Linked DNA regions of Solanum lycopersicum. Each later gene encodes a partner of the first gene's protein in a complex. Links are inferred from orthologs where the notes say so. Each region holds a gene or a part of one and is shown on either strand. Other genes may lie near its edges.

The links.
Region 2: actin-related protein 2 (region 1) and actin-related protein 2/3 complex subunit 3 share a complex: the UniProt entries of both Arabidopsis thaliana proteins name them as parts of the arp2/3 complex. The link is inferred for Solanum lycopersicum from reciprocal best matches to the Arabidopsis thaliana genes ARP2 and ARPC3.

What each region holds. Positions count from the first base shown.
Region 1 is NC_090801.1:71,233,107-71,236,544, forward strand, and holds part of actin-related protein 2, read left to right. Parts: intron 1-1,524; coding exon 1,525-1,574; intron 1,575-1,882; coding exon 1,883-1,986; intron 1,987-2,089; coding exon 2,090-2,158; intron 2,159-2,231; coding exon 2,232-2,295; intron 2,296-2,481; coding exon 2,482-2,550; intron 2,551-3,143; coding exon 3,144-3,227; intron 3,228-3,313; coding exon 3,314-3,372; intron 3,373-3,438. UniProt on the Arabidopsis thaliana protein: Functions as ATP-binding component of the Arp2/3 complex which is involved in regulation of actin polymerization and together with an activating nucleation-promoting factor (NPF) mediates the formation of branched actin networks.
Region 2 is NC_090806.1:3,894,521-3,898,953, forward strand, and holds the start of actin-related protein 2/3 complex subunit 3, read left to right. Parts: upstream 1-1,368; 5' UTR 1,369-1,544; intron 1,545-2,380; 5' UTR 2,381-2,457; coding exon 2,458-2,460; intron 2,461-3,745; coding exon 3,746-3,854; intron 3,855-3,932; coding exon 3,933-4,202; intron 4,203-4,433. UniProt on the Arabidopsis thaliana protein: Functions as a component of the Arp2/3 complex which is involved in regulation of actin polymerization and together with an activating nucleation-promoting factor (NPF) mediates the formation of branched actin networks.

The DNA.
Region 1 (3,438 bases):
GCTGACTTTCATCAGATGTTATCATAGCATAAGTTCGACTCACACTAGGTAATGGATTCATCATTAAAATCTGACTCCTCGCATGACTGTACACCTAATTCAAACCCATCAAAGAAACAAATTATCGCAGAAATTGCAGATGATCAACATACACTTTGGACTTATCACAGTTACAAGCAGTAGGCGGAACAAGTGCGTCAAACTCATTGCATAGAAGTAGCAATTTAGTAAAGTACCCAGAAACTGTCAAATTACCTTGACTAATTGTACTAATTTCACGATGAAGCTGATAGCTTCTAGATCCATCAACCTTGTTGAAGGGCTCATTCAAATCTTCCCAAACCATTGTTGCATCTGATGCATATACGATTCCACACAATAACTCTTTAGGCACCGTGTTCATGATCCATACTAACGCGAATGCGTTGCATTTCTCCCATTGCTCCTCCAATTCAGGTTTGTGATCAGATTTGCGACAAGTTCCAAGTACGAATCCCAGCTTGCTCTTAGCACGAAGGTTAATCATTAACGATCTGCTCCACAATGAGTAATTTTCAGCCCCTGTGAGTTGTACTGATGTCAATACACTCCCAGGAGTTTCAGAGGGATGAAGATATAGTGGATGATTTCGATTTTTCTCAATTCCATCAAGAGTATCAGCTGAAACTCCTGAAACTGTAGCTGCTGCACTATCCTCTGATGTCAATATCATCTTCTTTGAACTCACTCAATGGATGCTTCGAAGTCTTCAAATTGAATTGATTGTGAATCTGAATCTTGTGGATTCACAGCTCTGATACATGAAAATTTTAGTGAGAGAATTAATTGGGAAAATTTTCTCTATATTCTGTTAAACTGTAAAATGAGAATGAATCCATACATATATACAAGTGTGTTAGCCAGCTATCATGGCTGTTAAGCCAGCTGTTAACTCTCTCTCCACTAACTAACTACTTAACTAACTAATGGAATGTAAAATGTTTAACTAACTAACTAATGTGCAAATTAAATAATTTTATGCTAACTACTATTATTCTCAATAGATACGGTTGGTGGTAATACTTGGACCTTCCTTCTTACCAGTAATATTAGCACTATTCTCGTAGTTTCTTGTTCTTGGATTTAGTTTGTGCTCAGAATATTGCATTACTTCATCATCGTTACTGTTCTTTCTGCACTTTGTTGTGTAATGCTCTCCGTTTCGCATTATTTCATTGTAGTTATTGCTCTCATATTTGTATCCCCTTTTTTCAAACTGTTTGGCATGCTTATTTAAGCTGAGGGTCTAACGGGAACAACCTCTCTAAATCTATGGGTAAGGTTTGCGTACACTCTACCCTCAAACCCCACTTGGTGGGAGGATTACACTGGGTATGTTGTTGTTGCGAGAAGGACCATCATAAGTCTTGATATTGCAATTTTGTAGCGGGTATTTGTTACAAGGGTGGGGCTAAGTCATATTTTGCTTCTACTTGGGCCCTATCTGATGATGGATTTGCTCATTTTTTATGTTCCAATATGCAGGTTTGTTGACTGGGCTTGTCATCGACTCAGGTGATGGAGTTACACATGTTGTAAGTTTTTCCATAAGCATAGCTGTTTCATGATCTATAGTTTGTCTCGGTTCAACATTGATTCAAAAGAGAAGGTTAATTCTCATAAAGTTTGAGGTAATCAAACTAGGAGTTGCTACTCCCAAAACTAGAACTTTTTTCCTGCATAGTCCATTGGGCTCCCTGTCTAATAAGATTGCTCCTTCAAGCTGGTCATAAAGGCAGTGTTTTTTCAGCTCTCTGTTCTTTTGGTGGCACATGGTAATACTTGCTATGAACCGTGGGGATATTTTTTCTTCTGTATGTTATTCAGAAATATGTTGGTGCAGGTTCCTGTTGTAGATGGATACTCATTTCCTCACCTCACGAAAAGAATGAATGTAGCTGGACGGCATATAACGTCTTATATGGTTGATCTGCTACTTCGGAGAGGGTAATTGCCAACATATGTTTGAAATAAACTAAATAGGGTCATTCATGCTAATTTGATTATTTTAAACCATTACTGGAGTTTTGATGGTCAGTCATATCTGAAGGTATGCAATGAATAGAAGTGCCGATTTTGAGACTGTCAGGGATATTAAAGAAAAGCTCTGCTACATTAGGTGAATTACTTGCGTTGTAAATTAATCCCTTTACTAATTCTTCTGGCGAGTAATGATATTTTCTTTACTGCAGTTATGATTACAAGAGAGAGTATCAGTTGGGGCTTGAAACGACAATTCTTGTTAAGAATTATACTGTGAGTAGGCTCCATCCATAATAAGCTTTTAATTGGAAAAAACAAAGGCACTACTATTCTTTAAGCTTTTCTACTACCTTGAACTGCAATTAGGTATGGTACTTTGCTCTTGGAAGCAAAGATCCTTTTTTCTCCCATAAGAAACTTGGTCATCTGTAACTCATTATTTCACTTGTTTTTCAACAGCTTCCAGATGGGAGGGTACTTAAAGTTGGCACAGAGAGGTTCCAGGCACCTGAGGCTCTTTTTACTCCAGTGAGCATGCATTCCCATTTTTATTTTCCTCTTTCACAAATCAAGAACATACCTTTTACATAAAAATGCACCAGATTTGCTTTCCTCGTAGTGGTAAAGATGAAAGGCAATTGATGTATTCCCATAAAGCAATCTAATCCTGCAAATCCCATGTAACACCAAATGTCAATGTGACACTTGTTATCTAATACCATGACCATCTTTTGTCGTACAGCTTTTTAAATTTGGTAGTTCTTTTACCTCTCAACTATTCAATAGCAAAGCAATAGAGTGTTATCTTTGAACCAATTTGTTTCAGATGAAGTGTCAATTAAGTCCTTGTGAAAAAATTGAAGCAAGAACACATTGTTTGAACTTTGAACTGCATTGTTTGAAATGCTATTATATGCTTCTCCAAACTTCTACTTTATGGGTTGATGTATGTGAAAGAAAGCTAAATTGAAATATTATTCCACGTTTCTCCAAAATTCTAATTGAAGGGTTGATGTATGTGCAAGGAATTTTAAATATTATTTCACGCTTCTGCAATATATTTATTGATGGGTTGCTGTATGTGGAAGGAAGCTAAGTGTCACTTTTTCTGTCCATTTCAGGATCTTATTGATGTTGAAGGTGATGGCATGGCTGACATGGTATTTCGCTGCATTCAGGAGATGGATATTGACAACAGGATGATGGTACTTCAACTTTGAAATTTCTTCTGTATTCTTTGCCATAGTGTTGTCATTTGCCATCCATCATATGTTTAAATTTTCACTTGCAGCTCTACCAGCATATTGTTTTGAGTGGTGGAAGTACCATGTATCCTGGCTTACCTAGTCGGTAACTTACTCAAAATACTCTTCCTTATTATAAAGCTTTGAGAACTTGGAGCTGAGTAGTGCAATT
Region 2 (4,433 bases), on another chromosome or scaffold:
TGACCTAAAGTTTTTTTTTAATACACAACTACTTCACATTAATTTGTGAAATTTACAATGTTTAGTCAATAAATGTCACAATCAAAATAGATTTATATCATTATATTTACGAATAGAATTTTAATTTAAATATACATAAAAACTTATTCCAGACAGCTGGTATATTTAACTTATTAATTTGAATTCAATTATATAACTTTGACGTTAACATTAGCACAGATTCCCTTTCCACACTCTCCCTTTGAAATATTGAATTTTACTAGAAAAAAAAGAATGTTAAATTTGTTAATATATCAATATTTCAATTCAAAATCAACTAAAGTAATTAGAAAAAAGCTAAGCCCCAAAATTATTGCAAGTTGAACTGATTGAAATTAGAGAATTTTGTGATGGATTATTCTTAAGATTAAGAGTTAGAACAATGAAGACCACAAATTTTAAAAAAAAAGAAAAAGTAGAGAAATAATTTTTTCAAAACAATGTCATTATCAAAAGTTTTCATAGAATAGCATTATTCCTAGAATTATTCCCCTTTTAGAAATTAGGTAGTCATCATTATTATTGGTGAATTATAAAGTAGGGTATTTCAATTAGTCTATTATTAAATCTAGACTCCTTAAAAATCATATATACTTTATGGAAAAGGCGCAAATATAACGTTAAGTTTGTGATTTGAAATGGATATATTTCTTGATTAAAAAAAAATTATACATATATATTTACGTTGTTTAACAATATGATACCTGTATATTCGTGACATAAAGTATAAGGAAAGAAAAAAATGCTAGGCAAGTTTGACAAAAAGTGATGGTTAAACCTACCGTATAGTATGAGATAGAGTGTCGATTAGTCAAGAACTTTCATGTTCAAAATATGAAAGCTACGGAGATGAAATGTTTGCGATGAATGTGTGGGAATAATAATAAGACATGATTAGAAACGAGGATATTCGGAGACAAGGTGCATGAGAGTGATTTTGATGAAGGACAAGATGTAGAAAGCAAGGCTAATGTATGTAAAGAGGAGCTGCACGAATGTCCCAATATGAAGGTGTGAGAGGTTGATAATGGGCGGCCTCGAAAAGGTAGAGATAGGTCGAAGAAGTATTTGGAGAGAGGTAATTAGATAGAACATGACACATTTTCGACTTAATAAGGATACGACTTTAGATATAAGGTTTTGAAAGGCACGTATTAGGCTAAAGAAGTTAGTAGGCAGTAGTGTGTGTCGTCTTGCTATACGTCCACACTAGTAGTCCTAGCATTACTCATATAGTTTCTCGTCCTTCAATTTCTTTTATCGCTCGTTATTTCTTATACCTCAATTATCGTACTATTTTACTAAACTTCAAATTGGTTAAGAAGAGGCCCATAAACATTGAGCCCAATAATAGTTGATCGTTAAGCCCATCTTCAACTACCATCACCGTTTATACCCGATTCTCTCTTCACTTCTTCTTTGATCTTCGCCGGAAAATATCACCCATCCCTGTCGATCTCAACATCTCTCGCCGGTGAAATTAACTATCTCTTCTCGGAAATCCAGTACGTAAAATTACGATCTGTTGCATATCTTTTCGTATCTACTCTTATTATCATATGTTTAACATATTGCGTTTTTGTTGTTGAAACTGTTGCCGTGATTGTTACTACTGTGATTATAATTGCTTTTTCCAAAATGCTTTAAACTGTTTAATTGATATCGTAATTCAGTTAATATAATTCGCTTGGGAATTAGGGGAAATAGCTAGGTCGGAGATCTTGCTTATAGAATTCGGATTGAAAAAAAACTTAAAATTGGAAATGAGATGCTATATTTGTGTTTTTATGGCGATATAGGGAACTTTTTGATGTGTAACTAAAGAGGGAAAAACTGGCATTATAGTTGATGTTATGGGAAATGTAAGATAACTTACATGATTTGCTAAACCATGTTTAATCAAGGGTGAGCTAGGAATTTGAGTGTATGGATTCTAGAAAACGGTGTTTACTAAGTTATTGATAACTTATTTATGCATATTAGGTGGATTCTTAAACGCAAATACAAGATTTGAGCCGAACCTACTGGTTTTGGTCGAAGCTGTAGCTCTGCCTGTGTTTAATGGATAATTCTATAGTAGCGCAAATTAAAAAGATACGAATAGAATGGTTGGGAATGAAAGTGCATAGATGATCTGGAAATAAAAAAGGAACAAGGGGAGAGAGGACGGAAGATGTTGGACTATATGGAAGATTACCTGAATATTACTTAGATGCATAGCTAGTTATCTGATGTAGATGAAGTAATCGTAAATTTTGATGCACGTCCTCTTATATTGGAGTCATGTTAGTTGTGTTCTAATTAATCTTAGTTATCTGATACTTGATGAGTGCATCTGCAGATTGGTGTTATAGCCTCTTTGGTTCGAAATTATACATTGCCTTCTGGTGCTAAGAAGCAAAATTTTCAGCAAGGAAAATGGTAAAGAAAGCATTTTTTTGCTTACATATTTCATTACTTTGGTGACAATTATCTCTCTGAGTTGATAGTGTGATAACTTCCACGCATGATGAAAACCATGCTGTTTCTTTTCCTTTGGTGATCGACTTGGCCCTTTTCCTGGTTTGGTGCACTAAATGAGCTACATGGCTTACATTTCATGTGTTCATTCCACTATTTTGAGTTACACTTTGGTTTCTTCAAAGAGGAATAAATAAATGACAAATGTTGTATTCTGTTTTTAAAACATCTTGGCAATGAGGATCTGTTATTGGCAATATGGGATGGATTGTGGTCTTTCTTTGATCTGTACTCACTTCAAGAAGTCTATATATAGTCTAATGGTGATAAACAAGACAGTAACTGATTTAGAGTAGGGGACTTAGATATGATTTGGATACATGCATGCAGTACGGTATCTTACACACTGATTAATGGAAATAACATGATAGAAATTCCAACCAAAACTGAAGAACAGAAAAGAAAGAACCAAAAATATAAAGATTTAGAAGTAAAAAGAATTACCACCAAGGTTCAAGCTTGAAAGAATTTTGAAATTCAGTCCGGACAAAGACTGTTTGAGCCTCAGAAAGATATCAATCTCAAAATTATATCAAAACCTCTCTAAAAACGAGTTTAACCTTATGTGCAGATTATATTACCTATGTTTGAGAAAAGAATAAATTACACTAACTGAAAAGCCTCCCAATTTGTAAGACCAGTGTGTCACACATGACCGATTCCTCAAGTTCAGCCCGCTGCACTGAGTCGTAATTTCCAGCCCGCTTAACTTTTGGTGTTTGTGTTTCGGTGCAAGGCGTCCAGCCTTAGCTCCTTCTGTCCACACCCAATGCCTTAGCCGTGTGCTGGACTTTACTTTCCAGCAAGTTTTTTTTTCAGCCACTTCCAAGCACTCCTTGAACTCTCAAACATGATATGCTTTGCTCGAATCTTCGCCATGCTCTCCAAGCATCTTCTGATTATCTCTTAGAGATCTGTAACTTCTTGATGTGTAATCCTTGGATGCTCTTGGTCTTGGAGCGCCTGATGGTCCTTATGATCGTTCAGGATCTCTTCCCTAATGTGCATCTGCTATCCGGGGTTGTTTGAGGACTCTATTTTTCTTGGCGATGAATTTTCTGTATTCAACTCTAATGAATTTGTCCTTTCTATTTTATTCACTCTATTATTTTTGTTTTATAGGGTGTTTAAACCCATAACAACTTGTCCCATTGAGTGCTGAAACCTGATTTTGATTCAATTGCAGGTTTATCATTCCAGTTTCGTTGATGAGGAAGGAATTAGTAAAGCTTGTGGATGTCCTTTGTTACCTCTGAAAAGCCATATAAGGGGACCTGCTCCAGTTTCAGAACAAGGTTAGTCTTACGAGTCTTTTCCTTATTAAGAGAATGTCTCCACATTATTATGGTGATGCTGATCTTATTTTTGAGCAGATACAACCGATATTGTTGATGAAGCAATCACATTCTTCCGAGCAAATGTCTTCTTCAAAAACTTTGATATTAAAAGCTCATCTGACAAGCTACTTATCTATTTGACATTGTATATCAATATAGCCTTAAAGAGGCTTGAAGGCTGCCGAACTTTAGCTGAAGGAACCAAGGCTATCATCAACCTAGGTCTGGAAAATGTTCCTGTACCTGGAGAGGCAGGTTTCCCATTCCCAAGCTTATTTTCTCCAGCCCAATCTAAAAAAGAAGCAGGTAAGTTGTTATTTGAACGAAGCAACCTTCTTTTTATATGTGAATAAACCACCAATAAATGATTTTGGTTAATTTTGAGTTTGCTGTTTGCTTTAATTTTTTTCCTTTGAGATTCTAAAATGAAAACAAACAAATTCACATCTCATAGTTATTCAGATGATGATATCCTAGTCTAATTGTGCCAATCTAATTCTTCTGGAATTTTCATGTACGCTACATTTGTATGGCTTG